Linked DNA regions of Alligator mississippiensis. The protein of the gene in region 1 purifies or fractionates together with the protein of each later gene. This does not show direct contact. Links are inferred from orthologs where the notes say so. Each region holds a gene or a part of one and is shown on either strand. Other genes may lie near its edges. The genes, in order: ARMC8, HTRA2, RANBP10 and MRPL18.

Region 1 (7,251 bases):
GTTGTGAATGCTCAGCATTTAGCTACTTCAGGACTGTCCAGCTGGCAGCCTATGGGCCACATGTGGCTTGCAAGGGGTTTAGTTGTATTCCCTGAGCTCCTCTGGCCACTGTTCCTCTATCACTGGCTGCAACAACATCTGGGGGCTCTGGAGTCCCCCTCCCTCCTCCAGCTTTCACTTGTGCCTCTGCCTCAGGGATGGGGTAGTGCAGCATAGTATAGGATAAGCCTAGAGGCATGTTGTGCAGCAGCAGCGGGGGGTGGAGGGGTGCCTATGTGAGCGTGGAGTGCAGTGGTGTGGGGGAAGGGGATGTCCATGCAGTACATTCCCCAGGACTAAGTGGCTTGCCCTGGTGCAGCCCCTAGGCACTTAGAAGTTTGGATAGCCTTGATCTACGTGACCAGAAGTGAACCTACTCTTGCACTTGACCGAAAAGGTTAGTGGGCTGGCACAGCACATTCCCCTTCTATGTGTTCTCAATTTTTAGATTAGTCTTGCCACATAAACCAAATGATTCAAAGTCTTTTTTCCACCTCTGGACCTTCACACATGTGGTTTGCAGGGGTTCTCAGCCTGCCTCCCATCCAAGGGCTGCTGAGACCAGTGCACTACTACCCTCTTTAAGTCCCTATTGCCTTGTTCCAGTGGCATCCACCATACTAAGATGCATCTCTTTCTGGTCTATACCACACAGGTTTGCTGGCACAGCTCGGGTGCTCATGCTCACAGCTCCCTTGGGCAGATCTGCTTCTCTCTGCCAGCTTACAGAAGCAACCAGAAAGGGCATGCAGAACGCTCATGCTTCCTGCCAGCTGCTGTGGACCCTTGAACAGTCGGTGCATCTTAGGGTGCACTGCTTGCACAGCTGGTATGGTTATATAACTGCCTGGATTTAAACAGAAAGGATGAGTTTGTTTCTTGTTCCTCTCATCATTGTCCTTATTGTCAGGTGAGGAACTAGCGCTAGGCACTTCCGATCCTCTGTTTGGAATTGCCTTAAATTTATAACAGTTCTTCTGTGGACAATAATGTAGTGGTACCAGAATGCCTCATGCATTTTTAGATTATTGCTGTTTCTTTTAGATTACAACAAAAGTTAGTATTTTTTTTTCCAACTCCTATGGTATTTTTAATGGTAGCCAAAGTTCTTACTAGTCCCTAAGTGCAGGACTTGGCCTTTCATATGATTAAACTTCTACTTACAAGATAATCTAAATCCTCCTGTATACAGTCTGGTCTTCCTCTATATTTATGACCATCCTCAATCCCCACCCCAGTTTAGTACCATCTGCAAATTTCATGGGTCTGAGGTTGGACTTCTGCATTCTCTCACTCCTGACTTAGTCCTTTTGGATAATACTCCTGGCAGTCACTACAACCATCTCAGCATATTGGGATTTTATGTTGAACAGGATCAGTTCTGTTCTCTCAGGGGAGATGACAGCATTACCTAGTAACCATAGAACAGCTCCCATAAAACAGAATGATCATATTTTCTAGCATGCCACATGCCCAAAGTAAGGTATATGCCTTGTTTGGGGAAAGCGGAATGAAAGAAAATTGTTCTAGTAATGGCTGAATGCTGACTGCAGAGGATCCTGACTGCAATGATTGTGGCTATGAGAAGGTTAATATTAGTTCTGACTGAAGGGTGGACTCTTCACCCTCCCACCCTAAAGGTAGCAGAGAGAGAAACCTGGCAGACATCTTGCTGTGCTGTCTATTCTTGCTTCTATTCCAACAAAGAAAAACCAGCAAAATCTATTTTGGGGGGCTGATTTTTGGAGGAAAAGGTGCTTGTGATATTGAAGTGCCTACACTATTCAAATAAAATAATAATGTAAAATGTACCTCAACACAGCAAGCCCTTTAGATGCATAATGAACTTATCAGATGGTCACTTATCCAGACTCCTGCAGAGCCTGTTTTCATTGGTCACGGTCTGCAACTTGTCAGTTGCTGAGTGGAGTCATCTGTCCCTTGTTCCTCTGATCAGGGATATTATTGTAGATAATCTCAACACCTTTTATTTAAGGCCTTTTAACCAGGTTGCACCAGTCTGTTCTTTTCTTTTCCTCTTGGGGAAAGGGGGTTGCATGAGGGGCTGGGCATGCATTATTTCTGTGTTGGGGATTTGCATTAGTTACAGAAACTGAAAGTCAGTGGGTAGGAAACATTCCTGATCTTACCTGTTAGTGATTGTTTAGCTGGACAAACAAGTTCCAAAGGATGAATATAGCATTAGGCATTACGAGTTAAGGGTTAGATGAAGCAAGGTAGGTGGACCTAGAATTTGTGGCTATTTTGATGAGCAACACAACAAAAGTCATGTAAAGAGATGCTAGTGAAGACAATTGAATCCACTTGGTCTGACCGTGAACCTAGAGAAGAAAAAAAATAATGATCATTGTACCACTGTTAGTCAATGTAACTGTGACAACTGGGAGAAAGCACTTGAAGCTAGTGAAACAATTAGCAGGTTTGTGCAAAGTTATGAGCAGACACTGATCAAGAAACATATCAGCCTCCAGATTAAGGAGGAAGTGATGCAACTATATATTTGATTTATAGCTAAATAGGGTAATGAAACCTGAGTCATCAAGACCAAAAAAATGGAAGTTTTCTCAATGTTTTATCTAAAAGATAACTGGAATATCCTCAACAAAACTTGTGAACAATGATTAAATCTAAGAGAACTGGATGGAAACTTCTCACTTTCACTATTGGGAAAATACTTGGAAAGGGGGGGTAGGCATGCTTTGTGTATGTCAAACAAACTAGTTCCAAAGAGGCATCAAAGTGGACACCAACATTTGAAGAAGTGAGGAATAAGGCAAAGTTGATGGGATGCTATCAAAAAGTAATGGGAGATGATTGGGATGAATTGCCTCAGCTAGTAGCTGGAAGACTGGACAGCCCAAATGTGCTGAAATGAATGATATGGTCTAACAACTAAGGAAAATGTCCCAGGAAGTTTTCTGTCCAGTGTAATGATTCTGTCCCTAATTGATGTAGACTTTCATATCATTCAAGAAGAAACAGCCTGATCTTTCTGGGGTACCAGCAGGGTTGCAAAGCTTTTACTTAAGATCTCTTTCTAGGTTACTTCCTCCTCCCTGCAGCTGATCTAGGTTGGCCAGTCTTGGATGTTCCTTTCTAGCTTCACCTTTTTTGTTCCCTAAATACTTGCTGCCTCTTCCTTGTTCTTTGCTGTCAGCAAGGCTCCACTCAGCCCATCATTTCTGGGATGAAATCTTAAGTGCCACTGAAGTCATCCCCAAAATCTCTGACCAGTGAGGCCAGGATCCCAGGTCTCATTCCTTCATGCTTTAACATCCCTTGGCCATAAGTTGCTGCTTCCACTCATTTGACCATTTCCAAGCAAACATTTTTGTTGCCTAAATTTGCTCCAGCACTTTGAAGCTGCTGGGCCATGAGGGAGCTGTTTCTTGTTGATTTGAAGGTAGAGAGAACAAACCATGTTTCTTCTCAGCCCCATCCTGGAGCAGGGGGCCCTGCTCCCATGTTTGGTACCAGGTTGGGGCCTGGGACAGGGGGGCTGTATTCACAACCCGGGTCAGAGAGGTAGAGCTGTGCACCAGGCCTGTGTCACATGCTACATTTATCACACAATTCACCGGTGAACGGCACATCAAACTTGGACTGGGCACACCCACCACATGGCCATCCACTTATGAAAAGAGCTGCAAGACGGCTACAAAGCGAGTGCTTGAACAGGGGTAACAACTCTAGGTCTGGGTCCTACCCAACTCTCATTGTAAGGTGTGCCAGAGTCCCTGATGCCTTGGCACGGCTAGGGGCGTCAGCAGATTCCACACACGACGGTGCCTCGACCCAGCAGATTCGTTACACCTTTCCCGCCCTGGGGTGTTTTATGAATGAACGTACTACGCATGCGCCTCGAAACGCGACCGCCAGTTGAGTCTAACTCTGCCCCTTCCCTTCCCCTCCCCGGCTCCAAGGCAGCTTGCGCACGCGCAGATCTGACCTACAGCCCTTCCTCGGTGCGAGGGCAGCCCGCACATGCGCAGGAGCTCTCTCCTGCGCCGCTCGGCGAGTCAAAGGGCCCGTGGCGGCGCCTGCGCACTGGGCCGGGCCGGTGGAAGGCAGCTGGCGTTTGGTGCCGGCCGATTCGCGCAGGCCGCTCGGCTTGGCCCGGCGCTGGGCCCGCCCCTCCCCCGCGAGCGATGCGGCCCTGCCCGGCGGCGGCAGCACGGGGCTGACGGGAGGCGCCGCCGCCGCGCTTCCAAGATGGCGTGTGTGCTGGAGGCGCCGCTCCGCATGAGCGTCCTCTCGGTGAGGCCGCCGGGCCGGGGCGGGAGCGGGACTGGAACGGAACGGAACGGAGCGGGGCGGGGCGGGGCGGGGCGGGCGGCGCGCTGCGGAGCGGCCCCTGGGGCGGGAACCGGGACTAGCGCCGCCGCCCGGGCCGGGGTGGGCTGGGCTGACAGCGTCTGCCGCTCCCGGCCCGCCACATCGGTCGTTCTGCGCTCCGCTCCCCGCCCTGCCCTCGCCGCTCTGCGCTCCGCCCGCCGCCCTGCCTGGTGCCCCATTTGCTGCTCTGTTCCCGCCCCACCTGCTGCTCTGCTCTCCACTTGCCCCCTGCCTGCTGCTGAACTGCCTGCCTGCCTGCTTTACTTACTGGCTGCTCTGCAATGTGCTCCCTCCCCGCAGCGTCTGCTCCCAGCCCTGTGCTCCCCACCCCATCTGCCCCTCAGCTTTACACTTGCCACCCCACCTGCTGCTGTGCTTTCCCCTGTTCTGAATCTGGTGGACCACATGCAGAAGTGTCTTGTGCCCCTTGAGGCAGCTATGCCCCAAGTTGGCCACTCCTGGTTTAGTGGATAGTGTGTCTCAATGTTAAATGTAAGAGCCAAAGTAGTGTTTGTGTCCTGATACCACTTCTGCCTCATCATTGGCCATCCCATGATTCAAGGACTATCTCTACCATGGGTCACTGATCTTAGGGGATCTTAGGTGATTTAAGAGTCTGATCCTTGAGCCACAGATTTGTCAATTTTTGCATTAGATAGTTAAAGGGCTGAGAGGCATTTGGATGTTACCCTGGTGTCTTTCCCATTCTCTTGTCTACATCATGTTTAATTTTGGATTTCTTCTCTCCTTTGAAGTGAGAGCTGTAGTATTACTTTCTCTTTCAGAAGAAGCTCCTCTTGCCTTGTTCTACCTGCATTTATGCTGATCCTTGAGGAGGAGTTGGGTCTGCGCTTCCTGGAGGCCTGTATTTTTGCTAGGTAGAGCTGGGCAAATAAAAGACTACTCGGTTCGGTGGTTGAAGAAGAGGAGTGTTCTCAAATTGAAGCAGAACTTTGTTTTGGCATAAGCAAAACACATGTTCTGTTTCATTTGCAGGCACTTTATCTGCTTTGTGCCCCTTTTAAATCATAGGTCACTTCACATATAACAAAATGCCTTTCAAAGCAAACCGTTCTTCTGAAAATGTTTTGACATTAGAAAAAATCTTCCATGTTGCCACTGAAATAAGTGGATTCAGTGGGATTTCACAAGTAGTTTGGGTTATTTCAAAGCTCTGTTTTTCTGGCAAATTTTTACTGTTCACTGAAAACATCTTGCCAACCTCTTGTCTTGTTTGTAAAAACTGCTGTACAGGGATTGTAGAGCACTCTTGCCAGTTCATTGCCAGGAAGTGGAAATCAGCTTGGCAATAGAAGCCTGATCCCTTTGCTCTTGTAAGTCTTCTGGGTCTTCTCAGGTGGCCTAGTTGCTGTGCTTTGTAGTGCAGGGAGGAGGCACATCCACTGCAGTTGCCCTTTGATCTTTTGGTGGGGTATATTGCTTTTAAGTGGATATTGAAAGGGATGCTTTCATTCTTTGCCTCTGGGACACGTTTGTTTACTGACTGCAGTTGTGTCCCATGTTCGTAAATCCTAGCTTGCCAGCCTCAAATGGTATCTTGCAGTAACTGTGTCTTAACTCTTATGAAACAGCTTTTAGGTAATGTCCTGCCCACTTGGCATGAAATGGTCTAGAGGCCAGTTGCCACTTTTATTATAAATAATCTTAGTCTGTTTTGGTTTGCTTTTTCTCACTAGGTAAGAAGACATTGTATTTGATGGGTATAAAATTTGCCTTGTACGCTATGTCCAGCCTGGGGTATGCAGTGATAGCAGCTTTGGCTGTGGCTTTAGGTACAGGGAGATAGCTGATCTGGCATGGGGCTCAGCTCTGGTTTCTGCTGCCTGGCCTGTGCTGGAGCTGAAACTGCAGCCACTGTACTTGCCCTGTGACATAGCAGCAACAGCTACAGTTCTGGCATGGGCAAAGGGGTGATGATGAGGCCACTGGCAGAGGAGTTAGGACTGCAGCAGTGATGACACAAGAAGTAGCAAGGAATGTATCAGCCCTTGCTCACCTTTCTGCTGCCAATCCCCATGTCCATCAGAACCCAAGGATGCTTGATACCAGCTGGGGTGCATCGCATGCTGCAGAAATCTGCCAGTGTCCTGACACTCCTGCTTTACCTGAACTTTAGAGCTGGTCAGCAGGCTAGAAAGCAGCAGATTCTAGCTTTGGAAGCTTAATGAAGGTCTGGACCTAAAATCTATCTGGGTCCTGCCTCACCATACATGCCCTGCCTCACCTGGGCTGTGCTGAGACTATCCTGCTCCCTTGGGCTAGATAACCAAAGTGACGTAATAAGCAGAAGCCATTCTTGAAGGAAATGTAGATCTAGATGCTCCAGGTGGTTCATCTTCTGCCCCTTGATGCCACACTGGTCTGGAGGAGGGCAGTACCACACCAGAAATCCAGCTGGATAAAGAGGTGAAGGTTTAGTCCAAGGTCACTTGCCATTCCAAAAACAAGGCAGAGCTTCCACAAATCACCTTCATTCTTTCAAGGAAATTCATCAAGGAAGAAGGTAAAAGCTTAATAAAGGAAGAAAAGGCTCAGTTGACAGACCTTAACATCTTTTATAAGGGTGCAGGCTAAATTTTCCAAATCTGATGCCCTGAGCTAGCTGCTTACGTATGGCTTTAGGAAATCCTTTAATATGTGGCCTTTTTTTTTCAGGAGTGCTGAATACAAACAAATCCCAATAGGTCAGGGAGACCTGCAGATGCCTGGTACTTTTGAAAATCAAGCAACTTTTAGTGTAGCGTATTAATTTATCAGAAAAAGTATTGGAGAAGGCTTTGCTAAGATACAAGAAATGCTTTTTATGAATGTAGGCATGTATGTTCTGTTGCTGAG
Region 2 (7,097 bases), on another chromosome or scaffold:
CTGCAAAGGCGCCTGGGGAGGAGCAGGGGGCTGCAGCACTTTCAGGATTCAGCCCCTGCATACTCAAGAACAGCAACAACAGGCCCCGGAGTGTCCTCGCTGCCTCGCTCCCAGATCCGACACACGCAGGGGGACAGGACCATGCTCTTCAGCAACAGCTAGAGAGCTTGAGGTGCAGACAGACCTCTTGTGTCCATCCCTTTGTAGTCTTTATTTCAGACTCCCAGTTGCAGGTCTAATGGGCGTCAGACCAGCCAAGTCTTGGGCATCTCAGGGCTCTAATGTACCTCAGCTGTTCCACGCAGGTTCCTTGCTTGCTGCCTCCTCTGCCCCTGATGCTGAGAGGACAACTTTGCCTGCCAAACCAAGCCTCCTCTGGCTCCCTGATCTTTAGCCTGAGCAAACACCCACAGTCAAGCAGCTCCTTGCTTGCCCCAAACCAGGTGTCCCCACTGATCCACGTAACAGCTCCACAACCACCCTACGTGTTAGGGCAGCACAGAGCAATTTTCTCTTCCATTGGCTCCTGCCACATCTGTCTGAGCTGGATTGGAGAAGAGTGGTCTAATGAAATCGCCTGACTGTAGATTCACAGGGCAGGAAGGGACCTCAGGGGTTGCCTGGTCCAGCCCGCTGCACACGTGCAACCGCTGAACATCCCGGCCAGCCTCTTCTTGGAAACCTACCTTAAAAGGTGATTCCACAGCCTCCCTGCCCCATCAACAAAAAAGTTCCTTGAGAGCTCATTGAGGAAAACTCAAAAGCTTTTCCACTGCAACCCATGCAACTGGGGGGTGGTCACAATACTAACCTTGCTATGAGCCAAAAGGCCTATGCTCAAGCCCCTGCTCTGCCCCGAACTGTGCGCAGGACCCCTGGCAACTCAGCCTCTCCCCTTCCTCACCAGGGGCATCAAGGATGAACACTGAAATCTGAGGCACCTGCATACTATTGTAACAGTGACCAAGAAGCGCAGCGGACAGACAGCCAGATCAATTGAGAGCTTATTGATACTGCTGCTGTGACTAACAGAAGCTCAAAACACAGCATCGGTGTTTTTCAGTTCGGTTTCCGTGGTGACAGATCATTAATGATCAAACATTTGCTACAATGCAGCTGCTAGGAAGGCAGAGATCGAGGCAATTGAAAAGAACCTCAGGACGCAGCACAAGCCACAGGGCTCAGAGGAACAGCGGAACGAATGCCAGGCAACACCCCTAGCCCAGACAGGCTCTTCCACACCCAGGACTCACCACAGTGATTAAGGGCCTCTGAACTTGCAGAGTGACTGGCTGAATCGCATCCAAGATTGAGAACGGCCAGGAGCTGAAAAGGAAGCGTTCCATAATTAGGGACACGCTAGCACAGACGGGGCCCCACCCCAAGGCAGGCCCCCACCACTGCTACCTGAAGCGGAGCAGGCCGACTCGGCCATTGGTGGCTGCTTCTTCTGGGAACAGCAGCAGCGGCGGGTTTTCTCCATGGGCTGAATACGCTTTCAGGGAATCCACCAGCTCTGCCCGGCTCCCTGCCGCCCCCAGCTCCATGAACCCCCGAGACCAGCAGATGAAGCCGGGGGCGCTGTTGAGGGCAGGCTGCAAGAGAAGATTCAGGGGCAAGTTAGAGGTGCTGTCCCGCTCCTCAGGACTCAGCACCAAGTGCTGCCCCCGAGCAGAGACGTCTGCTGCTCGAGTTGTCGGAAGCCCCATCAGAGGTGCCGATTCAGTTGTAAACTGAAATGACTCGAGGACTACGGCCCCTCACTGCTTCCTGGGCAGCTGCCACCTGCCCGTGCTGGGGGAAGCCCTGTGCCCAGCCCTGCTTCTGCCCCAACCTACTTACAGAGCGCGACACACAAAGGCCGTCAGCTTAACTGAGCTGAGCTCTGCTCCTCCCTGCTCTCAAGAGCCCAGGAGACTCTCTGGGCTGGCGGGACAGCACAAGGGCCCAATCCTGAAGCAGGCCCCTCAGCACCACCCCTGGGAGAGGGCAGCCCTGCCGCCTGCCCCACTCACAGTGTTGCACGAGGTCAGCAGATTGATAACGTTGTGGTCGAAGTGGGTCACGTGGTTGGCGATATACACCCTGACGCCAGCACCACGGAGCTGGGGGTCGCTCTGCCGCACCACGAGGCCCAGCATGGAGCACATCACCCGCACGACGAACCTGGAACGGTAACGTGGGAGCGTTGGGAGGGCCACGCGGGGCTTTGCACATCCCTCTAGACCCACCAGGTGCCGATCCCTGGCAAACCCAAGCAGGGGCCTGGGACAGGCTGGGAAGCACTGGAACGAGCGGGGAGGGGGGACGCGCTGGGAGCCGAGGGGCAGGGACAAATGCCAGGATGGGCCGCACGGACGAGGAGCGGCAGCTCTGAACCAGGGCTGCCGGGCAGAGCCCCCATCCCGCCGCAGGCACCCACCGGCGCAGCAGGCTGTCGGGCAGGGCGCAGCTGACCAGGAAGACGTGGACGCCGACGAAGAGGCGCAGCACGAGCAGGCACAGCCCCACAGGCGCGTACAGCAGCAGCGCCAGCAGCAGCAGCCCGTCGCTCGGGAACCTGCCACGGCCGCCCAGCGTCAATGTCGGCGCACGGGCACCCGCATCCCCTGCCCCGGGCTGCACCCCCCACACGGGCACCCACACCCCCTGCCCCGGGCTGCACCCCCTGCCCCGGGCACGCACACCCCCTGCCCCGGGCTGCACCCCCCACACGGGCACCCGCATCCCCCGCCCCGGGCTGCACCCCCACCACGGGCACCCGCATCCCCCGCCCCGGGCTGCACCCCCACCACGGGCACCCGCACCCCCCACACGGGCACCCGCACCCCATGCACGGGCACCCGCACCCCCCACACGGGCACCCACACCCCCCGCCCCGGGCTGCACCCCCCACATGGGCACCCGCATCCCCCGCCCCGGGCTGCACCCCCCACATGGGCACCCACACCCCCCACACGGGCACCCGCACCCCATGCACGGGCACCCGCACCCCCTGCCCCGGGCTGCACCCCCCACACGGGCACCCGCACCCCCCGCCCCGGGCTGCACCCCCCACACGGGCACCCGCACCCCATGCACGGGCACCCGCACCCCCTGCCCCGGGCTGCACCCCCCACATGGGCACCCGCATCCCCCGCCCCGGGCTGCACCCCCCACATGGGCACCCACACCCCCCACACGGGCACCCGCACCCCATGCACGGGCACCCGCACCCCCTGCCCCGGGCTGCACCCCCCACACGGGCACCCGCACCCCCCGCCCCGGGCTGCACCCCCCACACGGGCACCCGCACCCCATGCACGGGCACCCGCACCCCCTGCCCCGGGCTGCACCCCCCACATGGGCACCCGCACCCCCCACACGGGCTGCACCCCCCCACACGGGCACCCGCACCCCCCACACGGGCACCTGCACCCCCCACACGGGCACCCACACCCCCTGCACGGGCACCTGCACCCCCCACACGGGCACCCACACCCCCTGCACGAGCACCCACGCCCCCTGCCCTGGGCTGCACCCCCACCACGGGCACCCGCACCCCATGCACGAGCACCCACACCCCCTGCCCCGGGCTGCACCCCCCGCACGGGCACCTGCATCCCCTGTGGGCACCCGCACCCCCCTCAGGGGCTCCCACCCCCCCCGCCCCAGGCTGCACCCCCCTCACAGACACCACACCCTCCGCCCCGGACTACACCCCCTCTGTGCGCACCCGCCCCTCTCACGGGCACCTGCCTCCCCTGGGGGCACCCGCCCCCCCGCCCCGGGCTGCACCCCCTGCGGGCACCCGCACCCGCACCCGCCCCCTCGCCTCCCCCGGCCGCCGCGCACCGGTGCGAGTCGAAGAGCCGCTCGGGGCCCGGCGCGGCGGGAGGCTCCATGGCCGCCCCGAGCCGCCTTAGCGAGGCCCGCGGCCCGGCGCCATCTTCCCCGCGCGGGGCAGGCTGGGAAGCCACGAGGCTCCCTCCCGACACCCAGCCTGCCCCGCGGCGCGGCGCGGCCCCTCCCGGGACTGCGGCTCCCGGCATGCCCGGCGGCCCGGGCCCGGTGCGCGATTGGCTGCTCCCGCCCGCGCCCTCCCGCGACCCGTAGGCCGCGCGCCGGAAGCGCAGGGCAGCTGGTGCAGAGCATGGTGGCGGCGGCGCGGGCGGCGGTGTTGCGGCTGCTGCGGGCGGCGGGGTCGCGGGGGAGACTGCGGGGGCTGTTGGCTGCGCCGGACCCCGGCCCCGACCCCGACCCCGGCCCCGGCCCCGGGCGGCTGCGGGCGGCGCTGGGCGCGGGCGCGGCGGGGGCGGCGCTGCTGCTGCTGCTCTGGGGCCGGGACCGGGGCCGGGACGGGGCGCTGCTGCCCCGCGTGTCCGCGGCCGTGCCCGCGCCGCCCCCCGCCGCCACCTCCGCCCGCGCCCGCGCCGCTTTCAACTTCATCGCCGACGTGGTGGAGAAGACGGCGCCCGCGCTCGTCTACGTGGAGATCCTGGGCAGGTGCCGCGGGGCGGGCGGGGCTCCCGGGGCCGGCGCTGTCTGACCTCGCCCCCGGCCGGCCGGCCGCGCGGCCCCTGCTCCCTGCGTCGGGGCCGCTCCGGTGCGGTGCGGTGCAGGGTTCGCGGGGCGCGCCCTGCTTGCAGCCGAGTTGAGGATGTTAGCTGGGCCGGGAAGCCGGGGGCAGCTCTGCACAAAAGGACCAGGGGCGATGGGGGACAAGACGCTGGACAGGAGCCGGCAGTGTGCCCTCGTGCCAGGAAGGCGACCGGCATCCCGAGTGCGTCGGTAGGAGCGGGGCCGGCGGATGGAGGCAGTGATTCTTCCCTCTATTCAGCACGGGGGAGGCCACATCTGGAGTCCTGCATCCAGCTGTGGCCCCACTGCAGAAGGAATGGGGACACACTGGAGAGAGGCCAGTGGAGAGCAGTGAAAGTGGTTGGGGGCTGGGGGACAGGACTGGTGAGGAGAGGCCGAGGGAAGTGGGCTGATTGAGTCTGCAGAAGAGAAGACCGAGGGGGATTGAATAGCAGCCTTCAGCTCCCTGCAGGGGGGCTGCAAAGAGGATGGAGCTGGGCTGTGCTCAGTGGGGGCAGATACAGGACAAGGAGCAGTGGGCTTAAGCTGCAGCAAGGGAAGTTGAGGTTGGCTATGAGGAAAAACTCTCACGAGGAGGGTGGTGAAGCACTGGAGCAGGCTCCCCAGAGAGGCGGTGCAGTCTCCATCCCTTGGAGGGTTTCAAGACCTGATTAGACAAAGCCTTGTCTGGGATGATGCAGTTGGGGCTGGTCCTGCTTGGAGCAGGGGTTGGACTAGATGTGACCTGAGGTCCCTTCCCACCCTCGTTGTCTGTGATCACAAGGGCCATGGGGCGCTGCACAACACAAGGACACTGCAGCTTGCAGACTCCTGAGACAGAGCAGAGATTGCAGTCAGGATCCAGAGCCTCCAAACTGAGGGGAAGGGGAGTTTCCGGGGGCTGGCTGTGTGGCGGGCCAGGCGGGGGAGCTCCTGCGTTGATCCTCCCACCTCCCCACGCCCGTCCACCTTCCAGGCTCCACGTGTCTCTCCAGGGGCACCTAAGCCCTGGCAGACCCCCTTTCAAGCCCCACTGCTGAGTCCAGGGGTAACGTGTGCTGCTACCACCCCGAGAAGGGACTGTCTGGGCCCTGTGTCCTCGGGGAAACACAGGCCTAATAGTCCTACGGGTACTTGACCCAATACAAGAACTTGGGGCACTTCCCCAAGTCGGGGGCCAAAAAGGATGGTCTCCCTTAGTCCGCAGACCCAAGGGGCCTCCTGGGCATAATTAAACCCACCCTTCAATAAGTCTCCCACACCAGTCCCTCCCAAAGGAGAACTGTATTGGTTACAGAGGGCAGGGTTAGAATAGGGTACAGGGTAGAGCAATATCAGAGAAATCCCATAGAGCAAACTCCTGTGGCTGGGTAGCCTTTGATCTTGTATCTGAGTTACTGCAAGCTATATATCTAGTTGGATCTCGGTTAGCTTACTCACGAATATCGTCCAGAGGCTGTTGGAGATTCCCTCTGGAGGCAGTCGGTTCCTTGATCATGAGTTTTGAGAGAGAGAGCACGTTTCAGATGGTACCGCTCTTCTTTGTTCCTGAGTATCCCTCATGGCTGCTGCCCCTTCCTCCTGGGCAGTCCTTAACTTATATAACCCTTGTTAAAAAGCCTAAGAATCACTGTGTTAGGCAGACACTCGTGGGGCAGATCCTTCCTGGAGCTGGACAGGGTGCGATCTCTGGAGGCCATGCCAGCCTGGCTGCTTTTGGATTCCCGTAGTAATCCCTGCCCTCTGCTCTATGCCCCCCTCCTGGGGTCAGGCACTTGCTCCTGGGCAGCCCCTGGCAATGGGGTGGCTGTGTGTGGGTCCCTGGGGGGGCTGATGTTGGGTGGGAGGCACGTGCCATTGCAGCGCAGGTGGGGCCCCCTCAGCGTCCAGCCCGGTCCTGTCTCAGGGGTCACTGCCCTCTGGCCTTGCAGGCATCCTTACTCGGGGCGGGAGGTGCCCATCTCCAATGGGTCTGGCTTCGTGGTGTCCCCAGACGGCCTAATCGTAACCAATGCCCACGTGGTGGCCAATCGGCGGCGGGTGCGAGTGAAGCTGGCCAGCGGGGAGCTCTACAATGCCGTAGTCCAGGATGTGGACCCCATGGCTGACATTGCCACCATCAAGATCGAGCCCACGGTGAGTCCAGGAGGCTCGGGCCAAGGATGCCCCCTGGGCGCACAGCCTTTACCTCGACGTGTCTTGGTCCTTGGCCCCACTGACCCCCCCTTTCTCTCCAGAGCCCTCTGCCCACCCTGCCCCTGGGCCACTCCTCAGACGTGCGCCAGGGGGAGTTTGTCGTGGCCATGGGCAGCCCCTTCTCCCTACAGAACACAATCACCTCCGGCATCGTCAGCTCAGCACAGCGGGGCAGCAAGGAGCTGGGGCTGCCTGGTTACAACATGGAGTACATCCAGACCGATGCTGCCATTAACGTAAGAGGAGTGTGGGTGGGTGGGTTGGGGGGGCCTGCGGGCGGGGGTCTGACTGACTGCCTCCCAGTGCCCAGTCAGACTGTAACACCCTTATTGAGGCAACCT
Region 3 (7,911 bases), on another chromosome or scaffold:
TAATAATGTCCAGTGTACATTCATTCTGGTGTACAATTGTTGTTTGGTCTCTCCTACATATTTTCCATCGGGGCATTTGGTGCACTGGATGAGAGAGATAACATTTCTGGAGGTGCAGCTGTAAGATCCAGGAATGGTGATGTTTTTGTTGTGGGGTGTAGTAATTGTGGGGGTACTGGAGATACGTTGGCAGGTTTTGCATTTCTTGTCATGGTATGGTCTGGATCCATTTGGTTTGTTTTGGGCTGTAGGAAGGTTGGTTCTGGTAATGAGGTTAGCAAGGTTCAGTGCTTGTTTGAATTTCCAAACTACTTTTCACAGACAAGCCTAAACACCTCACTTCATAAATCTACTGGATATAAAAACTCATGGACTCAATATAGACATTAGAATTTTGACACACTACAACTTGCCTGACATCTGACTCCCCAGGTACCTCTCCACTTTTACCTGCTACATCCCTGCGCCCCCATCCTGTCTTTCACCCCCTGACACCTCAATTTACATTTTCACTGACTGGCTTTCTTGCCTGCAGCCCAGCCTCTAGGCTTCTTTACTATTCATTCCATTCACACCAACTGCAGATGCTTCCTCAGCCTGATGAAGGGTTTTTAAACCTGAAAGCTTGCTAAGAAATATTTCTCCAACTATTCAGTTGGTCTAATAAAAGATATCAGATTGACCCAAAGAGCCTTGTCTGCCTATGTCCTTAGACCAACACGGCTACAATTTACACCCCTTAATACACACAAGCGATATGAGTTTTGCTTTCAACAGGTTGAGCAGCACTTTCACAGAAACATCTGCACCTATCTCCTTGGGACTCAGCAGGCTTCATGCCCTCATAAGGGTCTACCATCCCTGCTGTGTTAATCCAAATTGGCAAAAAAATGACAAAATTATAGGTATTTTAGTGATTCCCAATTATAGTCTATGGCTGAATCTCCGAATCCAATTCGGCCGAATCAAATCAGAACAGAGACTTGAATCACCAAATCAAATCACTGTCCCTCTGAATTGGCCGAATCCGAATTGAATAGTTAACACTTCACACAGGCCTATTGAATTTGTCAGCCTTTTTAACATGTTTTTCATTGATTATCAAATTTCCAGCATCAAGTGCCTCAGAGAAATCACAGTGTATATAGTCCGTTTTGGATAGACTAATCTTCATTGCTCTTCCCTCTAGCACTTCTCTCCATTGGTCCAATCCAGTTTACACTTCCTCTAGACTCTCGTTACAAATGACCACATCATCTGCAACCATCATGTTCCAGGGTGGTCTCCTTCTTACTTGTTCAGTAAACATATCCATCGTGACTGCAAACAGGAACAGGCTCAAAGCTGACCCTTAGTGTATGCCCACCTTCACCTCAAAACTCCCTCTCTCTCTCTTGAACTGCTCCTCACTTTCAATGTACATTTCCAATACATGTCCTTGACAGTTCTGGCATATTTCTCTGGCACCTCCTTAACTCTCAGACACTCCCATATTTCCTCCTTGGGTACATGATTGTAGGCTTTCTCCATATCAATACAAATGAAATGGATATCTTTATCACCTTTTCTGTATTTTTCCATCATCTGTTTTATTGCAAAAACCACATTCATGATACTTCTCCCCAGCATGAATCTGTACTGGCCTTCTCCAATGACTATCTCAGTCCTTAGCTGATTCTCCACCACTCTTTCCCATGCTTTCAAAGCGTGAGACATCAATTTGACTCCCTGACAGTTGCCACAGTCTTGGACATTACTTTTCTGCTTGAATATCGCCACCAACACACTCCCTCTCCATTCATTTGGCATCTTCTCCATTGCAAATATCTCTTTAAACAGCTTACACAATATATTGATTCCTTCTTCCCCCAAGACTTTCTAAACTTCCACTGGTATATCATCAGGTCCTGTTGCTTTACCATTCTTCATTTTGTTCAGTGCTCTTTTCACCTCCATTCTGCTGATGTCAGTCACCATGCCTTGGTTTTCTGTGGCATTTGCTTGCAAACTTCTTGGGTTCTCTTTGTTCATCAGATCTTCAAAATAGTTCTTCTACCTGTCCTTAATCTCTTCTTCGTTCGCCACCAGTCTCCCAGACTTGTCCTTGATCGTTCTCACATTACATCTCTCATCAATTTCTCTTCTCTTAGCATTCCTGTACACTTCCTTCTGTCCCTGTTTTGTTTATAGCCTTTTATACATATCATCCGTTGCAGTGTTTTTGGCCTTAACAACAGTCCTCTTTGCACTCTTCCTCTCTACTTTGTATACTTCAAAGTCCAGAGGGTCCCCTGTATCTTTCCATTTCTTACACTTCTCCTTTTTCTCCTGTACCTCTTTCTGGACTTCCTCATTCCACCACTATGTTTCCTTCCTGATAGGCATCTTTCCAGATGGCGCTCCTCAGATTTTTTTCTTGATCTTATCCACCACCTGTTGCCACTAACTTTCAGGGTTTTCTATTTCTTCAACCTACTTCTTCCAACACTCCTGTTCTGAAGGCCTCTCTTAGTTTCCTTTTCCTGCTGCAACCTCCAGCACTTACTAAATATCAAGGAGTTGAGAAAATTATGTCTTACAGCTTTCACCTTCATGTCCATGACTACCATCCTGGGATCACCTTACAGTCTTTCACCTCTTTCCAACCCCATTTCCTCACTAGCAAATAATCCACTTGAGTTTCTCTAAGTCCACTCTTGTACACGATCAAATGTTCTTCTCATTTTTGGAGGAATGTATTTGAAATTGCAAGACAGTAAGATACTGCAAAATCTACTATCCTTTCCCCCTCTGCATTGAGGTCTCTGAATATATGTCCCCCATGTAGCAATTTCTACTTTGCCCAACTTATCCATTGAGGTCTACCCCCTGCCCCTATTTCACTGTCTGGAACCTGTTGCGTCATCTCATCCACCTTTTCCCAGTTCTCCTTCTCTACTGGATTCCCTATTTGTGGGACATACATGCTCGTCACGCTCATCAATTGGCCTCCATTGTCCAGTTTCAATCTCACAATCCTGTTGTTCTTCCTTTCAACTTCCAACATTTTGTCCTTCAGTTCTTTGCACAGGATCATCTTGACTCCATTTCTTCTGTCTCCACTGCTATAAATCCTCCACCAATCTCTCTGTTTCCTGCACACATACAATATGTACTTTCTTCCTTTCCAACAAGAACGCCACTTCTCTACCTCTTCCTGTCATACTCCCCACATTGAGTGTTGCAACTCTCAGATCCTTTCTTTGGACCAGCTTCTTTTGCTGCACCCATCCTTGGTGCGGTAGCAAAATTTGTAGATTCATTGGAATATGACAGGATTGCACCATAAGCACTTCTACTATAGCCTCAAACTTGCAACCTTTGGACTATCAGCCATGCACTTTAGCACCCACACCACCCCCATCCCTGTTCATGGGGCAACACAGCAAAATAAAACTGCCAACTTTTATACTAAGTGGCCCTGCTTCAAGATGTCAAGTTGAAAGATGCCATTTGTATGAAACATGAGGGTTTATCCTTTAAATACCAGAATGCAGCTGAAGCTTACCCAGGTTGTGACCTATGGCTGAATGAGGAAAGATACTGTGCAACTTTACCTTTTGTTACTGGATGTGTCCCAGCACCAACAAGGTTAGGCTGACGAAAGTATGCAGAACCTGGAGGCAACAGCCAATGCCAAAAACAGATAAATTGCTATAGTATCCTACTAGCTCTTATGTTATGGCCTGAGAAAAGGGAGAGGATCTTGATAAGAAGAATCCTAAACCTACTGGGGTTTATACCTTTGGGATTTGATAATTCAGGGACATCAATTGGATAATGTCTCTCTCATAGCCAACAGGTTTGGACAAACTGTGAATCATCTGGATAATAACGCTCTCAAAATATTAACAGTTGTTAAAACTTGTCCATCGGCTGCCGACGCACCTCGCCCTGAGCCACCACCCGCGGCCCGAGAGCGGGGAGCGCAGCGCTGCAGTGGGCCCGGGCCCGCGTGTCCCCGTTTCCCGCCCGGCCCGGCCGTGCCCACGTGCGGCCCCGCCGCCGTCAGACCGCCCCCCCCCGGTTTCGGCAGGTGCTGACGTCAGCAACGCGAGGGCTCCTGGCCGAGCGCCGCAGCCGTAGGGAGCCGCAGCCGTAGGGAGCCGCCGCCGCCCCCGCCCGCGCCCGCCGGCTCCTACCCGCGCGACGGCCCCCGGGGCCAGGCCATGCTGGCTCAGCAGCGGCGCGGGCTGTTTACACTCGGTCTCCCTAGAAACAGGCCCCGCCCCGCCCCGCCCCCCGCAGGCCCCCGCGCAGCTGCCCGCGCCGCGCCTGAGGAACGAGCTTCCCAGCGGAAGCAACGGCACAGCCCTGGGCGGCGCAGGGGGCAGGTCTCCTGGCTGAACCCATTCCCCGAGGGGGTCCCGGGGTCTGGCGCCCCCGGCAGTGCCGCCGTGCCCGGGGATGACGAGTGCCTCAGCCGCGGCCCCCTGCCCCGCACCGGCGTGGCCCCTGCCTCCGCCGCAGCCCCGCAGGGGAGCGGAGTGGGGAGCCGCGTCCTGCAGGAGAGGGGCGAGCGCACCCAGGGCGGTCCTGGCGGCGGGGGTGGGGCAGCCCGCGGTGCAGGACACCGGCGACCCATCGCCCCGCGCCCGAGCTGGGGAGCCCCGAGCCGGGCTGTGCGGAACAGTCAGTGACTAGCTCACGGGGCATTCTGGGACTCGTAGTGCAGGGCCCCCCTGGCCGATGCGAGCCGCCCCGAGAGCGAACTCCTTTTCCCAGCATGCTGCGCGGCGCAGGGATGGGGCGGGGCTTGTGGCGCGGAGCCTATCGGGAGCTGCAGTCCGCGCGTGCGGAGAGCGGCGCGTGCGGGACGGCCCGGGACTCTGTTTTCCGGCAGGCACTGCGGCCCCATTGTGGCCGGAGTCGCGGCCCATTGGCTGGCGGCCGGAGCCGGGCCTCGCTCCCCGCCCGGTGACACAATAGCGAATCCAAGATGGCGGATCCGGGCGCAGGAAGCTTGCACGGGGGGGACGCGGCGCTGCCGTGCCCGCCCGAGGAGCAGGAGCTGAGCCAGCGCCTCCGCCGCCTCTACCCGGCCGTGAACCAGGACGAGACGCCGCTGCCGCGGTCCTGGAGCCCCAAGGACAAGTACAACTACATCGGTCTCTCGCAGGGCAACCTGCGCGTCCACTACAAAGGTGCCGGGGGCTCGGCCGGGGTCGCTGCTGTCGCCGTTCTCGGCCGCGACAGCCGCGGGGGCCGCTGGGGCGCGGCGTCGGGCCGGATCCGGGCGCCGGGCTGGGTCGGTCGAGCGGCAGCCTTCGCCCCGCCGCTAGAGGGGGCCGCGCCGGGGCCCGGCAGCCTCGGCCTCCCTGCCCGCAGGGGCTGGACGGCCCCCGGATGCGGGGCGCGGCGGAGGGAGCTCGGCGATGCTCCTCCGCCCCGGGGGAGGAGACAGTTTCGGGACGGGGGGGCCTCTCGGCTCAGGCCTTGCAGCCGGCTGCGCGAGGGCCGAGCACCCGGCCCGGGAGCTCCCCTGCCCTAGGGAGAGCTCGGACGGCTCCGAGCCCAGCTCCCCGCCCCCCTCCTGTGTGGAGCCTTATATAACACTTTGCAGTGTCATTAGCTTGGGCTCCCGCTGCTCCCCCATGCTGCCTGGCCCTGTCTTCGTTCCCCAAAGGGCTGATATCTCGTCTGCTGCTGCTCCTAAATACAAGCTTGCAGGGGCCGGGGGTTGTTTGCACTGAGGTGGGGCCCCTTCAGCACTTGAACTAGTGAAATTGTCAGGTTCCCAGCTCCAGGGCCCCACTGGGAGCTTTAGTTGTTCCTTCCTCATTATGCTGAGGGCTGCTTTCTCCAGTATCCACAGCGACCTTCTTCTTGTTAGCCAGTAAACTGCTGCCGCTTGTACCTTGAGCCATTTGCTCGTTGGCTGTTTGTGCGCTGAGGCCTCTGCGTTGGAGGGAGCCTTGTGCTTCTGTCTCAGAACCTTAAGAGTGGAGACAAAGGAAAAACTACAGAAGCACGTACTGTAGGCCATGTACATGGTGGCAGTGCAGGATCGTATATTTTAAGTGACTGAGGAATCCCTTTTATTTCCCTGCTTGCAGAATTACTTTTGCTGTTGCAAGTCCTTTCCTCTGTTCAGACAGTGTAATTTCAGAACACAAGGCCTTGAGACCTCATAGCCCTTAAATATTCACTTTTCCATTGTTACTTAGGTCATGGAAAAAATCACAAAGATGCTGCTTCAGTCAGGGCCACACATCCCATACCTGCAGCTTGTGGCATTTATTACTTTGAAGTGAAGATTGTCAGTAAAGGTAGAGATGGGTAAGTACACTGCTCCAATTTGATTTTACTGGTGGTTACATGCATCTTCTGTGCTCACTCTTGTTTGCTGAATGGGTTAGAAGTTTATTTGACAGCTGATGTTTGTAACAGACAGGTATGTGTTAGTGGGTTATATCTGCATAGTCAACAGGTGGCACACCAGTAATATGTATTGGAATGAGGTGCCCTTATGTAGCTGCTCCCTACATAGTTCTATGTGGGCAATAAGTACTACTCAGGAAGTACTAATCCTTTAAGACAATTTCAATTTCACCGGTGTTTACTTTGTTTCAGTGATGTCTGCTTGGTATTCAGACAGCTGGAAATGGGAGGAGAGGAGGGACCTGAGAGAAGAATATTAGATGTCCTTGTTAGGGAACATATAGGAAACCAGTCCAAGTAACTTCACACAGCATGGAAAAATTCTCTATTTCTAAGGTCTGAAAACAGACAGTCTATAAGCCTAAGAATTTCTTTTCATGATTTTTTTCATCAAAATGTGTGGAGGCTTTTTTTTTAAATGGTTATGGGGACAGGGCTAGGGTTAGGGTTAGTGAATTGAGGGATCAAGAGGAGCCATTAACTAACAGGGAGTAGCTACTGTGTAAGCTACAACTCAAGAGTTAGATCACTAGCTCTGTTCATCAGCCCAGTCAGTCTTCTGAAAGACCAAATTGAAAAGTTAGGACATCTTTGAATTGGTTGAGTGACTATACTGTTTTGATTTGGTTCCTGCTTTTCAGACTGGCTTGAGGCAGCCTTGATGTTTTGAAATGAAGTGTAAGAAGGTGCTTTTAGATTTGGAGGAGCTGTGAACATTATGTTTTGACTGTCATGCTTTCTGGATGGACAACAAGTAGCAGTAATTGAGCTCTGGAACATTAGCTTCTCTCATCTTGTCTGGAAACTGCTTATGAACAGCCAGGGAAAGGATTATTTAAAATAGAGAAAAAGAGGCCTTTGTAAATGTATGCAGGATCTAGGTGTTTTCTATCATTAGTTGAACAGGTGCTGGCTTATGACAGGCAGCAGTTGTGCAGGCTTGGGAAATCCTAGTGTTGGACACAAAATACAAAAAATTGAGTTCTTCCAATAGATGTAACTTTTGATATACTGTAGGATACTACCAGCTAACTGCATTTATTCTCTAATCCAGGGGTTTTCATCTAGGGGTACACGTATCCCTGGGGGTACTTTGGAAGGTCCCAGGGGGTATGTGGCAGTGCATTTGAGGAGCCACTGGCACTTCGGTTTTGTCGCTGCACAGGGGACCCTTCCCCCTAGCTTGTCAACTGGCTGCTGGGGGACTCCCTGCTTCTTGCCTGGCTGCTGGGGGTACCCCGACCAAAAAAGGTTGAAAGCCTCTGCTCTAATCCATTCTCGTGCAGAGCAGCTAGAAGCACAACAAAGGCAGCATATCCTGTCTGGTGCTAGAAGCAGAATATGAACCATGTCACTTTGCAGTATCCACAAATAGGCAGCTCACTGAGTGGTGTTGTTGACTGCTTAGTTTGGCTTCTATCCAGCCTTCTACTTGATTGTGATCCCTACATAAGGTAATGCTCTGGACGAAAGTCTAAGAGTGTATGAGAG
Region 4 (7,793 bases), on another chromosome or scaffold:
TTATTTTATTCACAACCCAAACTAAAAAGGATACAGTGGTTTATAGACACAAACTGAATGCCCAGAATCTAGTTTAAATAAATGTTACATAAATTCCGCTGACAAAGCTATACTGTCTCAGCTGGTAGGCAAAGCTAAGCCAGAAGGCCTCTTTGTCGACACAGCTCTCCTAGCAAAACTCTGTTTCTCTTGGCAAATACACTCTTAAGGAAGCCGGTGGCATAACCCTGGCAGCAGAGAAACTCCTTCTACTGGTGCAGGTTGCTTAGAGGATTCTGCCACAGTAGCTATAGCAACGACAGCCCCAGAATGTAAACTAGGACTGCCCAAATGGCAACTGTGATGGGTTAATTAGCAACCCCTGGGCTCCACTCCCCCATCACTCCCTTGGCTGCTGATGCCAGGGTCTCTGAACTTCCCACTGTCTGGCCCTGGGGGGCAGGGTGACCCACATGCCCCTGCAATGCAACCCAGGGGGGAGAGCTTACACAACACCCCCCTTTCCTGCACAGCTGGGGCAGGAGGAACTACAGCATATAGCCCAAGGGAGGTATAGCCCCTGGGTATACAATTAATAAACCCACACTCTTAGCAATACTAAACAAATAATGTAATTTATTTGTTATTCAAAGTTTTTTTGCAAAATGTTCTGCCATTTCATATAGGAAAAAGATATTTGCAATCTTTTCCTTCAGACTCTGGCACTTTTTTCTTTATCCCATAAGCATAGCCACTTAATCTGTAAATCGAGGAAGTGGTAGTCAAATGGGAAGCACACAAAACCTGACCTTTCCTTCGGAATCTGAGGTAGGCAGAGCCCACGTTTTGATTTGTTAAAGGATGCGTCTGATTCACATCATTGATTAAAAGTTAGCTGTCACTTCTAATCAAAGCTATTATTTAAAAAGTAGCAAACTGCCTGTCATGGATGACAGGGGGAAGGAAGGGGAGGACATGGGCGGGGATGGAGTGCTGCCACCCAGTACCCCAGTGCCACTGCTCCACCTCCAGCCCTGTGGGCCCCCCCCCCCACTCCTCTCTGTCCGTGAGGAGGGGGAGGGGCGTGGCCACCCTTTGGATGTGGTGGTGAGACGGGAGCGGGGGTGAGGCCGGAGGGGGGGGGGGGGGGGCGAGGCCAGCGCTGCGCCACCAGCACCCCACACCGCCACTGCCTTCAAGAAGCAGGGCCAGGGGGTGGGGGGCAGAAGCTAGGCCAGCACTGCTGGCCTCGCCCCTCTGGCTCCGGCCCCTCAGTCCCTGCTATCATGGTGTCAGGGCTGCACTCTGCCCTGCCCTGTGTGTTTGTCTGTGCAGAGCACTGATTGGCTGCCATTACAACCAATCAAAGTGCAAATAAACAGTTATGGACAGACAGACTAAGACTTTTATTATATTAGAGTAAAAAATGAATGCTCTTCCATAGTCATACTGAAGAGGTCAAGTTGCTAAATGCATAAAGACCATGAACAACATTTTACACAGGAACAGACTGAACAGGTCCCTACTAGATAGCATGAATTTGAGAGAAAGCAAGCAGAGACCTTTTCATTACAGTTTAAGACAGAGACGTATGTCTACTTACGCCAATATCATCCACTAACATTTTATCCAAACCAACTGGCCCAAGGGAACTCTTCACAATGTTAGCAATGGTAGCTGCAGCTGTAACTGTAAAAAACAGAACAGCAAGTAATTAGGTAACTCTTCACAAATAGCCAATTCTAAAGCCCACATTCCTGTAAGTATAGTCCCCGTTTTAAAAGTCTGGAATATAAATAATTTTTGTCTACTTTTGGCACATGTGCTTTTTCAGGGCCTATTTGACTGGGGAAATGAAAATGACTGGGGTGACAATATAAGGATCCACGACAAATCCATTTGCACAATTTGAATGGACACCACGAAGACACCTCGTTTGGCTTCAGGACTAAGCGTTGTTTTTGCCTAATACAGTTAATCAACCCACAACTGTAAATGTACTAAATGCATGTAATTTACTTATTATTCAAAGTCTTATTGTATAATGTTCTGCTCTCTCATATAGGAAAGAGATATTAACTATCTTTTCCTTCAGACTCTGGCACTTTTTTTTCTATCCCATAAGCATAGCCACTTAATCTGTAAATCGAGGAAGTGGCAGTCAAATGGGAAGTGTTCAAATCTGATCTTTCCTTTAGAATTCTAAAAGTACTAAACCCCTTCCTATTTTTTTGTAATCAGTGCATACAAAGAGCTGTTCTTGCTACTGGTATTTACCTGACGGTACCAAATTTCTTATTAATGTGAATTCACTTTATTTAATAGTGAATGTGGCAGACAGGTTACCTTCAGGGAGAGATCCAGCTCAGGGGCGGGCAATTATTTTGGGTGGAGGGCCGCTTACCCAGTTTTGGCAAGCTGTCCAGGGCCACATGGGTAGCTCCACCCCTTGGCAGGTGCCCCGCCCCTTTATAGGTGCCCTGCCCCCTGATCACCATCTTGGGACCAATGTCCCAATATCTTGGGACCAATGTTTCAGGGTCATGCAGGGGTCTGTGGAGCCAGGCTGGCCTGCACGAGCAGGGAGAGAAGGGAGCCCTGCTCTGGGCCCTGCTGGTGCTGGCCCCAGGACACCAATGTGGGCCCTGTGTTCCCACTGGCTCCCATGCCCACTCACTCTCAGTGCCCCCTGAGCCCTACGGTACAAGCAGGGGGCAGCATGCAACCCCGACCCCGCGCTTGTCGGCAGGAAATGAGCTGGTGCTGAGCACAGGGAAAAGCAGCCCCTCCCCCACCCTGTGGCCCACGCTCCCTGCTGCAGCTGCTCACAGCCTGCTGGGCAGCCCAGAGGCAGTGGAGGTAGCCTCAATGCAACCTACTGTGGTGTGAGCTCTGGGCGGGCAGCAGCAGCAAACACTGCCCAGCATGGCAAGCAGGGGAGCTGCAGCTGCTGCCACCGTGGCAAAGCCCCAACGGACAAGCCCAGAGCCAGCATGGGGCCTGGGCTGGCAGCGGGGGCGGGTTACAAGCTGGTACTGAGCATGGGGAAAAGCAGCCCCTCCCCTGCCCCGTGTCTGCTCAGGACAGCCCTGCGCAAGCTGCAAGTGGCTGCAGCAGGGAGCACAGGCCATGGGGCAGGGCCACTCTCCCCCCCCCCCACTCAGCACCAGCTCATGCCCCCCACCCACCTTTTCTTACCCAAGCTTCCTGTGCTGGAGGAGCCACCTGGTCCCAGGCCAGAAGCCCCCGCTGAGGCCGGGCAGGCCCTGCTGTTGCAGGAGCCTGCCAGGGCTTCCTCTGGGTCCTACTGTTCCTGGCTCCTGTCATTTTTGACAGGAACCAAGGACAGATAAATATTAATTTTCTAAATTTTTAGGGGCCCTGCGGGCTGGGTAGATGGCCTAGCGGGCCGGATCTGGCACATGGGCCGTATTTTGCCCACCCCGATCTAGGGGCGCTACAAGAACACTAGTGGAAACTGAGTCATCAAGAAATAAATCTTGAATGACTTTTCTCCATCTCCTGTTTCTAATCTCAGTTTTTACTTCAAGAAGAAATCCCATTTCAGTGCATTTGTGCACAGCTCTGGTAACAACTTGTTTCAAATATGGAATTCAAGGAAAAGTTTTCCCCCATTCAACATGGGGGCGGGGAAAAAAGCCCTTGTCTTGGGTTCAAGTAGGAGGCAAGGGTGAGGGGTAGGTGGCTGCTCCGACTTCAACCCAGGTGTGGGGTCAGAATGCTTCCCCCAGCAGCCCCTGCGCCCCAGCCATTTATCTTCTGCTGCGGCTCCAGGCTCAATCTGGCCTGGAGCACGTGGGGGCTCCAGCCTCCACCCAGCCAGGCAGTGGCCATTGTGGCAGGGGTTCAAGACAGGGCTAGAGCTGCTCCCTGGGTAGCCAGAAAGGCTGGCAGAGGGATGGGTGGGACCAGGGGGTGCAGGTACACGTGGGAGGGGGAACAAATAAGGGGGAGGGGGAACATGGAGGCACCGGGGGTAGATGTTAGGCCTTTTGAGCCCCCTGTGACCTGGTCGCAGTGGGAGAGGGTGGTGAATTCAACACGCCCCCTGATAATTCAATTCTATTTATGGAAGAGAAATAACTGCCCATCCCGAACAGCTCCATGCACGGGCCTGGCCAAAGCCTGCCCCACTAGCATCACTAGCTGTACGGTAATTATTGTATTTACTTCAAGTTCAACCCCTGCAAAATTAACAATAGTAAAAGCGCTCAAAACCTACAATTGTTTTTGAGGCAGCTCATACACGCAGCATATGCAAACCCCAATTCACACTCAGGGAGCCTCAATTGCCTTTCGGGCCGGCCGTGGGTGCTTCCTTATCACTCCTTGCCTCAAAATGAAGAAACGCTTCCACTTGGATGACCCAGGTCTTGCTCAGGAGCGACTCCCAATGAGCAATATCGAGTAAATGAGACAACCACCTCCTCCTTGCATGTTGACTTGTATATTGCCCAGTGTACAATATTTTTTTCAGCAAATACAGGAATTCTGAGTTTCTAATAAGATAATTTCATATTTAAGACCTGACAAACGCTGCCCCCACCCCGGAAGCGAGGGGACCCCGGAGCCGCGCGGCCCCTCCCCCCCGGCAGGCGGCGGTTGGCTCCGCCCCGCAGCCGTTACCGTTCTGGCTGCGGACTGCATCGCCGGAGCTGCGCTCGCCTAGCACGGCCAGGGGCCCCTCCAGCGCCGCCATGGTCCCGCCCGCACCACGCCGGCAGCCGCGAGATGAAGCGTAGGGCACGCCGGGAACTGTGAAGGAGAAGAGGAGAGGAAGCAGCCAATGGCTGTCTGGAAGGGCAGTAACGTCAAACGGCTGTTGCCCCAATCCGGGAGCTCCTCATAACGCCCGGCGAGCGCTGCCTGGGCTGCAGGCGCTGATTGGATGCTGAAGCCGGCGGGGAGACGCGAGTGCGGGCGTCACGGGGATTCGAAGGACATGGGCGGGGCTCAGGGCGAGTGCAGCGCTGGGCTTCCAGGACGTTCTAGAAGGCGGCAGCCGATTGGCCCCGCCCCCTGGCTCGAGAGCGAGGCTTCCCGGAAGGCAACCCGGCTACTGGGGCGGAAGTTCACGTCCTTTCTGTTTCCGGGGCAGCGGATCATTCCCCTTAGTAAGAGTCTAGGCTCAGCCCAGGAGGCAGCTTGGTGCGGGCGGCCGCATTTTGCCGCTGTCGCCGCTATGGCGCTGCGGAGCCGTGTCCGGTCGCTGTTGTTGAGTGTCGCTGCCGCCGCCAGGCTCCGTGGGGCCAGCGAAGGTGCCGGGGATGGGGCTTCCGCGTAGGGGGTTCCGTTGGGCAGGGAACTAGTCTTACGATCGCTTGAGTTCTGTTTAGACTTTACCCACGACGCGCAGAGTCGCTGACATCTTACAGGCGAGGCCATTGGCTGAAGTAGTTCTAATATTTCTAACTTATTTTTCCTTGTCTCTTCTTTTTGCTTCCCCGCAAGGTCTTCGTTTCACATCTGCTAAAGCCAGCTTCGAAGTTGCCGGTGCGGAGGCGGACACAAGTGAAAACGAGGTTGTCGCCCCGGATTTCGCCAACCGGAACCCTCGGAACCTGGAGCAGTTGGCGCTCGCCAGGAAGGAGCGCGGCTGGGAAACCACTTGGCCCAGCAGAGAGTTTTGGCGTAGGTGAGTTGTGGACTTGTTTGGCAATAAGTGAGTTTAAGAACCGGAGCATTTTTTTAAATCTGAGATCTCCAGTGGTACTCAGGAAGTGCTCGTAGTAAAACTGTTGGACCAGAGGCCCCCTCAAACTTAGGCTTTGTGTATGCAGGTAATTAGGGTCAACATAGCCTAGGCTGGTGATTCCTAACTTGGGTGCCTTGAGAGCCTTTGAAGGGTGCTGCGGGGTGCCAAGCCATGTTAGCACTGCTAGGTGTGTGGACGTGATTTGCAAGACTGAAACAGATTTCAGATAAGCCCTAAGGTTAAAAAAACATTCTGCCCCATTGTGGTCTTTCTGAGTTCTTTGCAACAGAAAAACTATTCTGTCTTGTTTTTGTAATTTAAAAAGCCTAGAGAGCTCAGAACTGGCATTTTCCAAGGGATGCCTTGAGCCTAATGAGCGGGTTGAGAATCGCTGTCCTAAGCTCCGTGGCTAGCCACAGTCCACCCAGCCCCAAACATTCTGCTGAACTTCAGGATATGAGGAAAGGCCTGCCTTGCAGTGTACCTCTCCCTGCAGTATGTTTGGAGATTGCCCAGATGCTGTAGGCCACAAGCACAGGAGTCCCTCCAGTGGCTGTTTTCAAGCTGCTTCTTCCTAACTTTCAGCCTTTCTGTCCTCAAATCTTGTCTATAATTGGAGACAAGATGTGCAGGAGAAACAAGTACCATATTTTCTTGCACATAGCATGCCTCAAAATAAAATATGTACCTTGTTGAAAAGTAGAAGGAAGGAAAAATAGCTTTCCTTGAAATAGTAAGTTACTGAGTAGCACAGGGGCAGGCAATTATTTTGGGCAGAGGGACGCTTACTGAGTTTCAGCAAGCCATCAAGGGCTGCATGACAGGCAGTCCAGGGCAGGTTAATATTAAATTTTCTAAATTTTTTAGGGGCTCCATGGGCCGGATAGAATGGCCTGGCGGGCCGCATTTTGCCCACCCCTGGAGTAGCAGCTTCTGCAGCACGAGCCTCGGCTAGGGAGAAAGTGTCCACAGCCAGCAGCTATGGAGCCCCGCTGTGCTGTCCGATATGCAGTGTTATTTCACTTTCCTCAGGTAGAGGCATTATTTCCCTGTTTATGACAGACTCTAATTCCCAGCAGCTGAATCTTGGAAAAGGGGTGTATGTTACATGCAAGAAAAATATGGTAATTTGCAGACTGATATCTACAAGGGGATCTGCTTGAAGGACAGGAAACATACTTTGGATGGCTTTGGTGTAGGCTGCAAGGTAAGATACAGATGAGGAAGGGTGGCACATGTGGCTCAAGTTGGTTGAGACTGACCCTAAGTGACCTCTCATCATGGATTCTGTGACTTTTCCTGTTTCAGATATGCAGAGGCATAGTCTTGTTAAAGATACTATGGGGTACTTTCCATCTGCTTTAGGGTTACTAACAGACAACTTGCATAGCAAGAGATGTGAATTTTCTCTTGTCTGTGATTGCCTTGTAACAATGCCCAGCTTGAGACACCTGGTTCGTGTCTGAAGATATAGAACATCTGTGCTCTGGAGCGGATTTCTCTTTAGGGTGCTTAGTGATGAATTACCCAATCTGGTAACACCCTAATCTCACTGTCTCTCACCCCATCCTCATCAATAAATTAAGCGACTGCGGCATTGATGCCTGCACAGCATGCTTAAACTCCAGGAGAAAGCACAAAAGAAAACTTCAGTATCCACAGACATATAAGCTCCTTCTCCTGTTGGCCTGGGGTAGATTCAGATCAGCAACCTAGACCAGAAAGGTTCATGCCTGTGTTCCTTGTCCTCACAGCCAGTCTGCTATGAATGAATTAATGACATTTTTTTTAATGTAGGGCTCAGCCCTGCAAGGCACTGAACACCACCAGCTTCCATTATGTTCAAAAGAAGTTAAACAATGTTCAGCACTTTTAAGAATCAGACTTTTTTCTACTACATATGAACATGGCCATACTAGACTGAAAACTGAAAAGAACATGGACAAGTTAGCCCATTTTGGTTTATATGTTTGCATTCATTTTTTGTGTCATAATCTGCATGTACAGACAAACAGAAACTTTATTTATATAAAAAATGCAATTATAATTGCATTTTAATTTACCCTAGCTCAAAGTATGCACTTCTCCCGTGAATTTA

The links.
Region 2: the proteins of ARMC8 (region 1) and HTRA2 purify together in Homo sapiens (affinity purification with mass spectrometry; 5 studies listed by BioGRID and IntAct, with this or other methods). This does not show direct contact. The link is inferred for Alligator mississippiensis from reciprocal best matches to the Homo sapiens genes ARMC8 and HTRA2.
Region 3: the proteins of ARMC8 (region 1) and RANBP10 purify together in Homo sapiens (affinity purification with mass spectrometry; 5 studies listed by BioGRID and IntAct, with this or other methods). This does not show direct contact. The link is inferred for Alligator mississippiensis from reciprocal best matches to the Homo sapiens genes ARMC8 and RANBP10.
Region 4: the proteins of ARMC8 (region 1) and MRPL18 purify together in Homo sapiens (affinity purification with mass spectrometry; 3 studies listed by BioGRID and IntAct, with this or other methods). This does not show direct contact. The link is inferred for Alligator mississippiensis from reciprocal best matches to the Homo sapiens genes ARMC8 and MRPL18.

Annotation. Positions count from the first base shown.
Region 1 is NC_081830.1:29,556,502-29,563,752, forward strand, and holds the start of ARMC8 (armadillo repeat-containing protein 8), read left to right. Parts: upstream 1-4,234; 5' UTR 4,235-4,272; coding exon 4,273-4,317; intron 4,318-7,251. UniProt on the Homo sapiens protein: Component of the CTLH E3 ubiquitin-protein ligase complex that selectively accepts ubiquitin from UBE2H and mediates ubiquitination and subsequent proteasomal degradation of the transcription factor HBP1.
Region 2 is NC_081825.1:370,961-378,057, reverse strand, and holds the start of HTRA2 (serine protease HTRA2, mitochondrial), read left to right. Parts: upstream 1-4,086; 5' UTR 4,087-4,132; coding exon 4,133-4,485; intron 4,486-6,491; coding exon 6,492-6,696; intron 6,697-6,797; coding exon 6,798-6,992; intron 6,993-7,097. Other genes in the region: lipid droplet-regulating VLDL assembly factor AUP1, read right to left, coding at 1,254-1,326, 1,408-1,595, 2,016-2,166, 2,423-2,560, 3,835-3,884.
Region 3 is NC_081833.1:34,362,342-34,370,252, forward strand, and holds the start of RANBP10 (ran-binding protein 10), read left to right. Parts: upstream 1-4,897; 5' UTR 4,898-4,978; coding exon 4,979-5,183; intron 5,184-6,206; coding exon 6,207-6,318; intron 6,319-7,911. Other genes in the region: TSNAXIP1 (translin-associated factor X-interacting protein 1), read right to left, coding at 4,182-4,210. UniProt on the Homo sapiens protein: May act as an adapter protein to couple membrane receptors to intracellular signaling pathways.
Region 4 is NC_081824.1:137,784,056-137,791,848, forward strand, and holds the start of MRPL18 (large ribosomal subunit protein uL18m), read left to right. Parts: upstream 1-4,793; 5' UTR 4,794-4,888; coding exon 4,889-5,114; intron 5,115-5,120; exon of another isoform or gene 5,121-5,182; coding exon of another isoform or gene 5,183-5,258; intron 5,259-5,451; coding exon 5,452-5,635; intron 5,636-5,651; exon of another isoform or gene 5,652-6,727; intron 6,728-6,830; exon of another isoform or gene 6,831-7,793. Other genes in the region: TCP1 (T-complex protein 1 subunit alpha), read right to left, coding at 1,583-1,668, 4,627-4,699. UniProt on the Homo sapiens protein: Together with thiosulfate sulfurtransferase (TST), acts as a mitochondrial import factor for the cytosolic 5S rRNA.